Linked DNA regions of Cricetulus griseus. The protein of the gene in region 1 binds, or shares a complex with, the protein of each later gene. Links are inferred from orthologs where the notes say so. Each region holds a gene or a part of one and is shown in the gene's direction. Other genes may lie near its edges.

Evidence for each region.
Region 2: the proteins of Tln1 (region 1) and Pip5k1c are in contact, whole or in part, in a crystal structure (PDB 1Y19), measured with the Mus musculus proteins. The link is inferred for Cricetulus griseus from reciprocal best matches to the Homo sapiens genes TLN1 and PIP5K1C. Residues at the interface, in NP_035732.2 of Mus musculus: Pro209, Val210, Gln211, Leu212, Leu214; in NP_032870.2 of Mus musculus: Pro646, Leu647, His648, Tyr649, Ser650, Ala651.

Annotation. Positions count from the first base shown.
Region 1 is NC_048595.1:99,973,577-99,977,380, forward strand, and holds part of Tln1 (talin-1), read left to right. Parts: coding exon 1-29; intron 30-171; coding exon 172-288; intron 289-389; coding exon 390-503; intron 504-690; coding exon 691-825; intron 826-974; coding exon 975-1,103; intron 1,104-1,262; coding exon 1,263-1,365; intron 1,366-1,476; coding exon 1,477-1,685; intron 1,686-2,035; coding exon 2,036-2,155; intron 2,156-2,336; coding exon 2,337-2,534; intron 2,535-2,703; coding exon 2,704-2,843; intron 2,844-3,012; coding exon 3,013-3,106; intron 3,107-3,187; coding exon 3,188-3,277; intron 3,278-3,387; coding exon 3,388-3,510; intron 3,511-3,804. UniProt on the Homo sapiens protein: High molecular weight cytoskeletal protein concentrated at regions of cell-matrix and cell-cell contacts. Involved in connections of major cytoskeletal structures to the plasma membrane.
Region 2 is NC_048598.1:102,067,288-102,071,559, forward strand, and holds the start of Pip5k1c (phosphatidylinositol 4-phosphate 5-kinase type-1 gamma), read left to right. Parts: upstream 1-1,277; 5' UTR 1,278-1,379; coding exon 1,380-1,473; intron 1,474-4,272. UniProt on the Homo sapiens protein: Catalyzes the phosphorylation of phosphatidylinositol 4-phosphate (PtdIns(4)P/PI4P) to form phosphatidylinositol 4,5-bisphosphate (PtdIns(4,5)P2/PIP2), a lipid second messenger that regulates several cellular processes such as signal transduction, vesicle trafficking, actin cytoskeleton dynamics, cell adhesion, and cell motility.

The DNA of each region.
Region 1 (3,804 bases):
TCAAGAAAAAGTTGGTGCAGCGCCTGGAGGTAAGGCTGGGCAGTCCTTGCAGGGAGGTGGGGGGGTAAATGCACGGATGCAGTGAGAGGAATGAGTGGGGGTAGGTGGGGAGAGTGCCGTGTAGGCCAGGGCCTGGGAATGCCTGGTCTTCTGATCACTCTGTCCTTCTAGCATGCAGCCAAACAAGCTGCAGCCTCTGCTACGCAGACCATCGCTGCAGCCCAGCATGCAGCCTCTGCCCCCAAGGCCTCTGCTGGCCCCCAGCCCCTGCTGGTGCAGAGCTGTAAGGTAAGTCTCCAAGAGGCATGTGGGAGTAGGGAGGGGTCAGAACAAAGGTAGTACTTTCCCTGACTTCAAGAGCATGAGATTCATGGCACTTTGACCTACAGGCTGTGGCAGAGCAGATTCCATTGCTGGTACAGGGCGTCCGAGGAAGCCAAGCTCAACCTGACAGCCCCAGTGCCCAGCTCGCCCTCATTGCTGCCAGCCAGAGCTTCCTGCAGGCAAGACACTCTCCACTTCTAAGACCAGATCCTCCCCACCTTTCCAAGACCTTAGATCCCCCACAATCTGAGTATCTGCTAGTAGCTGAGACCAAACCTGAGTGCTTACTTACTGCACCCTACCAGTGTCCGTTGGAAGGCTAGAGAGAGGGTATTGTATACCTCATTTGCATATCTTCTCCAACAGCCAGGTGGGAAGATGGTGGCAGCTGCAAAAGCCTCAGTGCCAACAATTCAGGACCAGGCTTCAGCAATGCAGCTGAGTCAATGTGCAAAGAACCTAGGCACTGCACTGGCAGAGCTCCGTACTGCTGCCCAGAAGGTATGGGAGCTGTTCTAGCTGTGGAAGATGAGGCTCTGTATGTGGACTCCTGGGATGGGGGAGAATTTGTACACTATAACCTCTAAGAGGGATGACTGTAGTCTGAGGCCCAGGAATGTAGCCATACCCCCTGCTGCTCGCCATCACAGGCTCAGGAGGCATGTGGACCTTTGGAGATGGATTCTGCACTGAGCGTCGTACAGAATCTAGAGAAAGACCTGCAGGAAGTAAAAGCAGCAGCTCGAGATGGCAAGCTTAAACCCTTACCTGGGGAAACAGTGAGTAGTCGGTCTTATTAACATGCCCTCAGCCAAACCATGAAAGTCTGCTCAGCTATGCCCTAGAACCTTCATTTAATCTTCCAGCTGTCCCCAAGAACCTTCTCAGATACCCTCTCACTTCCTCCTCCTCCTAAGCCTTCACCCTCTTATCTGCAGATGGAGAAGTGTGCCCAGGATCTTGGCAACAGCACGAAAGCAGTGAGCTCTGCCATTGCTAAGCTGCTGGGGGAGGTTGCCCAAGGCAATGAGAACTATGCAGGTATGTAGGCACAAGGCTAGGAATGGGACATATGATAGGGAAATGGAGAAGGGGGGCCTTGTTGGGGAGAGAAGCTAATGGAGCAAACCTATCTCCTCTGTGTGTCCCCAGGTATTGCAGCTCGGGATGTGGCAGGTGGACTACGGTCACTTGCCCAGGCTGCTCGGGGTGTAGCTGCCCTGACATCAGATCCTGCGGTGCAGGCCATTGTGCTTGACACAGCCAGTGATGTTCTGGACAAGGCCAGCAGCCTCATTGATGAGGCAAAAAAAGCAGCTGGCCATCCAGGGGACCCAGAGAGCCAGCAAAGGCTTGCTCAGGTCAGTTATTAGGAGGGGCTCCTGCCCACCCCTCCCTTAGATCTCTTCAAAAGGTTCACCCTAATAAGACACACACTCTTCAGCTTCGTGTGTCCTCAGATCTGCTCATAAGAGTGCCTCTCTGAATTCCACCTTCTCTCTTGTCTTAGAAGTATCTGTTAGGCTTAGGCACAAACCTTGCAGAGCAGCGGGTTTGGGGATGTTTGGTGATTATTGTTTGTTATGACCCTGACCTCAGCTTCTTCCAGTTTTAGTGGCAGGACAGCTTGTTATCTCCTATGTCCCAGTGTGGAAGGAGGGCTCTCCCAGATTATTCCTTCTTTGGCAACCCTGTTTCTTTTCCACTTCAGGTGGCGAAAGCTGTGACCCAGGCCCTGAACCGCTGTGTCAGCTGCCTGCCTGGCCAAAGAGATGTGGACAATGCCCTACGAGCAGTTGGAGATGCCAGCAAGCGACTCCTGAGTGACTCGGTAGGAACAGGCATGGCTAGGAGAGGAGAGCTTTCTGTCTCTGGGCTTCTCCTTTGACCCTGCCTTCCCAGAGCTGCCCTTTTCATTATTCCTAGGTCCCGTGCCCATCTTACTGGCCTTCCTTTCCCAAACTCTGTCTCACCTCCCATCCATCTTCCTGACTTTCCCTCTGACCCCACAGCTTCCTCCCAGCACTGGGACATTTCAAGAAGCTCAGAGCCGACTGAATGAAGCTGCTGCTGGATTAAATCAGGCAGCCACAGAACTGGTACAGGCCTCCAGAGGAACCCCTCAGGACCTGGCTCGGGCCTCAGGTCGATTTGGACAGGACTTCAGCACCTTCCTGGAAGCTGGAGTGGAGATGGCTGGACAGGCCCCGGTACGATGGGGCAAAGGGTGTTATGAGGGCACAGTAGGGGACACATGGCTGTTTGGGGTCTGGGTCTGCTGGTTGCCTCCTCCCCAGGGTCTATCAGAATGTGAGTATTTGGGAAAGATCCTTTTAGAAACAGATATGACAGGATAATGTATGCTCTCACCTGTAACAGAGCCAGGAGGACCGAGCCCAGGTGGTCTCCAACTTGAAGGGCATATCCATGTCTTCAAGCAAACTTCTTCTGGCTGCTAAGGCCTTATCCACAGACCCTGCTGCTCCCAACCTAAAGAGTCAACTGGCTGCAGCTGCTAGGTAAGCAGGAACTGGAAAGCCCAGCTCTGGGAACCTGTGAGAAGGCCAGAGAGAAGACATTTCCTAAGACATCCCCAGGGTTAGCAAAAGAAAATATATACAGTCCCATGCACACAGGACACAGGGAAGATCACCTACTCACTGAGTTCCACACCCCTCCCCCAAACAGGGCGGTGACAGACAGCATCAACCAGCTTATCACCATGTGCACCCAGCAAGCACCTGGACAGAAGGAGTGTGACAATGCCCTTCGGGAACTAGAGGTGAGCCTTTAGCATAGTAGCTGGAACTAAGGAGCTAGGGCTGAGGGAATGTCTCAAATTTCATGTCACTCCCCTACACAGACAGTCCGAGAACTCCTGGAGAATCCAGTCCAACCCATCAATGACATGTCTTACTTCGGTTGTTTGGACAGTGTCATGGAGAACTCAAAGGTTAGTGGGCCGGGGAGCTCTAGAGAGGCAAGGACAGGAAGATGGACTTAACACTGATACCTTGATGCTCAGGATGTGATCCGACCCTCCTGACACCCTCTCTTCCTTAGGTCCTAGGTGAGGCCATGACTGGCATCTCCCAAAATGCCAAGAATGGAAATCTGCCGGAGTTTGGAGATGCCATCGCCACAGCCTCCAAGGCCCTCTGTGGCTTCACCGAGGCCGCTGCACAGGTTATTTCCCTCAGATGGACTCCTAGAGCAGCTCTTGCTTTCTATGTCCTTTCTCCCTTTGCAAGGATATAAATCAAGAAGCTAGTGCAAAATCTGGGTGCCCCCCTTCTGTAGGGAAGGGAGATGGTCATCAGAACTGTTGAGCTGCAGCAGCTCAAGGTGCTGTAACTCTTGGTTTTGGTCACATTGACCAGCTGTCAGGCTTTGTTGTTTTTTAATGGTGCTGGAGATTGAACTAGAGTCTCGTGGCATGTTAGGCAAGCTACACTCTAATCTAGGTGAAGCACTCTTATT
Region 2 (4,272 bases), on another chromosome or scaffold:
AGATCATATCATATCTCTCTGGCCCCTGTGGCTTTCCGGTTTCAGGTTTGTTTTTTTTTATTTTTTTAATAATTTATATGAATTTGCCGTGTGGTGATGGCACACGCCTTTAATCCCAGCACTTCGGAGGCAGAGGCAGGTGGATCTCTGAGTTCGAGACCAGCTTGGTCTACAGAGCAGAGCGAGTTCCAGGATAGGCTCCAAAGCAATAATACAGAGAAACCCTGCCTCAAAAAAGCAAGTAATAATGATAATAATAATAATAATAATAATAATTTATATGAATTGGTGGGTTTTGCCTTCATATATATCTGTGTGATCATGTCGGATCCTCTGGAACTGGAGTTACAGACAGGGTTAGGGTGGTTGCTGGGAATTGAACTCAGGTCCTCTGGAAGAGCAGCCAGAGCTCTTAACCTCTGAGCCACCTCTCCAGCCCCAGGTTTGTTTGTTTGTTTGTTTTTTAATTTGCTTCTGCTTCATTTGATCACTCATGACCTAATTCCTTCCTGTGATGCCCTAAGGATTCGTCCACATCTCTGGAGGAGTTGGTGATGTCCTCTGTAGTTCCTGAGGCAGGAAGGGTTCAGATTCATGCTTCTAGCCGGCTCAGGAGAGGCAGACTCTGCGGCTCCAAGGACCCCCACGTTTAGGAGTGGTGACATTAGTCAGGCTTTCTGGTGGAACCTTAGCACAGGAGAGGTGAGGCAGAAGAATCACAGTTATTATCCTCAGCAGCCTGGGCTACTAGAAGTGGTTTTTACTGCTATTATTTTATTACTTTACAATATAATGTAAACTATTGATAATTAAAGACAGAGCCCCACTTAGACCCAGCTGGCCTCGTGTCTGGTTTGCTATCCGCTTGGGGCGCTCCTGAGCCGCATGTGTAGGCTCCGCCCCCAATCTCCGATTGGGTGTGCTAGGCTCTAGGCCCTGCCCTAGCTCCACCCCCTGCAGGCTTTCTTCCCTCAGTTCTCTGGTTTATACGAGCTGCTCGGTTTTTCCGCCTATGGACACTTGGAGGCGCTAGTGAGTCGTATTTCACCTTAGCCCTGCCCCTGATCTCTGATTGGTCAGATCCCGCCCCCTGCTGAAGTTTCTCCCTCCGCCCTCGGAATTGCACGTGAACACGAGTCCTTCCGGCTCCGGACGCCTGAGGGCGCTCGCGACTCTGCTGAGTGGGCGCTGCTCTAAGCCCCATCCCTATCTCTGATTGGTTAAACTGTCCGCGTCAACGCCAGGCTCCGCCCAGACCCCGCCCCCCGCGCCGGCGCCCCTCCCTCCGCCCTGTGGTGCCGGCGGCGCTTGTTGTTCAGCGGCGGCGGCCGAGCTCGAGTGCATCCTCGGGCCCGCCGCCGCCGCCGGAGCGCTTGGCCATGGAGCTGGAGGTGCCGGACGAGGCGGAGAGCGCCGAGGCGGGGGCCGTGACGGCGGAGGCGGCCTGGTCTTCGGAGAGCGGGGCGGAGGCAGGTAAATCCGGCACCCCCGTCGGCGCGATGGGCTCGCCCCGCTCCCCCGCCGTGGCGCCGTGGTCTCGCCCGGCCGCTCTACGCGGCGCTGCGGCCCGCGGGCTGTGCCATTCACACGCGCGGCGCGGGGGTGCGCGCGCCCTCCCATTCCATGGACTGGGGGAGCCGGCGCTGCGGCCGGGGAGACAGCACAGCCCCGCCCGGGGATACGGGGCTCTCAGCGCTCGGCCCGTTTTAGGGTCCTCGGGTAACACGGGCGACCCGCAGGCGGGTGTGGGTGCGGCTCTGTATCCTGGCAGCCTGTGGAGGGAGCGATCCCCTTCTAGATGCATGCGGTAGCGAAGATAGGGTCCTCAGGTTTGGAGGAAAAGGGGACCGACCCGTTTGGGGGAATCCTCTTGCTGCAGGTGATGGAGACAAACCAGCCCTGCCTCTTTGGGTGTGTGGAGAGTGGTTTCTCCACAGTGCGTGGGATGCTGCAGCACCCTATTCTAGTGAAGGAACCCCCACCTGCCAGGCTAGAAAGGGCGAAAATGTCCTCCATGCGACCCCCTTTCTGGGGCCACCATGCTGGGCTGTCAATCTTGCAAGTGTGACCTTCTGGTGCCTCCCTGCTACACACCACCTATCACCCATTTGTGGGCCTCAGTCTACCTCTCTCTAAAACGGGTGGGGGGCAAAGGAATGATTTGAGGTGATTTCTCCATCTTGGCTGTGTGAGCCAATGTCCTGTCAACCCCCAAACCTTCCAGACTCTTCTCCCTGGACCCTGTCTGCCATGCTAACATAGCCTGTGGGGCCACCCAGCTTCCTCCTGTCCCCTTTCTTGTCATGAGCAGCCTCTCTGGGCAGGGCAGGGCAATGTGCACCGCTGAGAGAACAGAATGCTCTTTTCTCCATTGAGGTCACAGGAACTTCCAGGGTTCACAGGACCCTAGGCTCCTCAGCATATCCAATGTCTGACCGCTGCAGTTAGGTCTCTGTGGCCTCACACAGGCATCCAAGGGTCCCCTCAAATGTACTTTTTGCACACCAGCGATGGGGGAGGAGCCAGACAGCCAGCGGTCCCTAGCCCCAGGCTCTCAACGCCTTCCTCTGTGCCATCTGGAACCTAGTGGCAATGAACCTGCCTCTTGCCACCTGCCCTCCTTCTCCACTGTCACCTGGTGTCCTGTGCAATCAGTCCCTTACCATGCTGGAGGAATTGTGCAGGGGACACAGGGTCCCTTCCTGTCTGTCCACCTTGTGGCCAGTGTGGCCACAAACATGATAGGTCCCACCGAAGCCTCAGGGCAAACATTCCTCCCCATGGAGCCTTGGTCATCCTGACTGGGGACTGATAAACTGACTAGAACTTCAAAAGGGTCTGTCACTGAGCTCTGGACACACCTGACTCCAGACCCCCAGGGGCTGTTCCTCCCGGAAGTCCCTCTTCCTGACTGGAGTCCTATTAAGTTAATCATCCACACAGAATCCCATAGCAGCTGTGTGTGGGTCCCACCCTCCAGTCCAGCTCCTTGATGTGCCCCCAACTACAGTTGGGGGATCACTGCAGCCCTGATCTCTTTAAGGAGTCAGTATTGCTGGTTGTGTTAGCATTAATTTACCACCAACTGCATACCTGCCTCCACAAGTCCCACAGCCCTCTACTATGACCCATTCTGATAGCTTCTGTTTGTTAAGTGTGTGAACACGGGGGGTGTTCAGGGTTGGTGTCCCAGTTTTGCTGTGGCTGGAGGTCAAAAGCAGGCAGAGCAAGGCCTCCCCTGGTGGTTCTTCCTGGAAAGGCTGGGTTCTGTGGGTGCCTGTGTCCCCTGCTGCCTGTCCAGCCAGCCTGCTATCTGCTCTAGTAATTTCCATCAATCTGGTGGGATGCCAGCCTATCCCTGTGCTGTTTAGAACCCAGTTAGTTATATTAAGGACTCCTTGCTCCAGAGGTCTGGCCCCAAAACTGGCCTGTCTTCCTGTGGCTGCCGGGGTCCCTGTGTAGTTTGTGAGTATGTGGAAGGGCTCGGGAAGGCTGGGTATTTAGGACACCTAGGCTGGTGACCTGCTGGGCTATGGCGTGAGCCTGTTCCTAAACTTCATCATTCCTAACCTGCCACTGCCTCCTCCCCTATCTAAACGGGTGGTGAATTATGTCAGCATTGCTTCTAAAATCACCCCAGAGTCTGCCCACGTCTCTTCCACCCTCTGCCTCACCAGGTCCAGCTTCATCATCCTTCATTTTGCTTCCCCCAGCTCTCCTGGTCCAGAAGAAGCCCCATTAAAAACTGGCTCAGGGCCCTCCTTCTGCCCACAGCCCTACCCCATCCCTTCTGACTCCCTCCCTGCCCCTCACTCTCTGCTCCAGCTGCAGGGGCATCGGTGCTCCTCCTGCTCCTCCAACAGCACAGCACCAGGACAGGGTGGCATTCAGCAGATGCACTGTGACTGCCAAGGTGTGCCGGGTATGGCCCATGAGATGCCAGGTGTAGCAGGAAGAGGCAGTGACCTTGACATCAGGGTCAGAACCTTAGAGACAAAAGGTTCCATCAAGTCTTGCCCTAGGTGTCCTCGTGAGATCCTGCAGTTGGATGGCTCTGGGGCCCTTCCTCAATTAGGCTGCTGGGATTAGCGTGCTGATATACACAGGGCCAGGATAAGGCCGGGGACCTAGGCTGGACTAGTTGCAACCTCCATGCTAGTTTTTGTCAGTAAAGTTTTATCAGCATGTGAGCCTGCCTGTCTTCCCACAGGCTGCCTCCCTGTTCAGTTGGGGCTGCTAGCTGCACAGAGCCACAGGGCCTCCCAAAAAGAG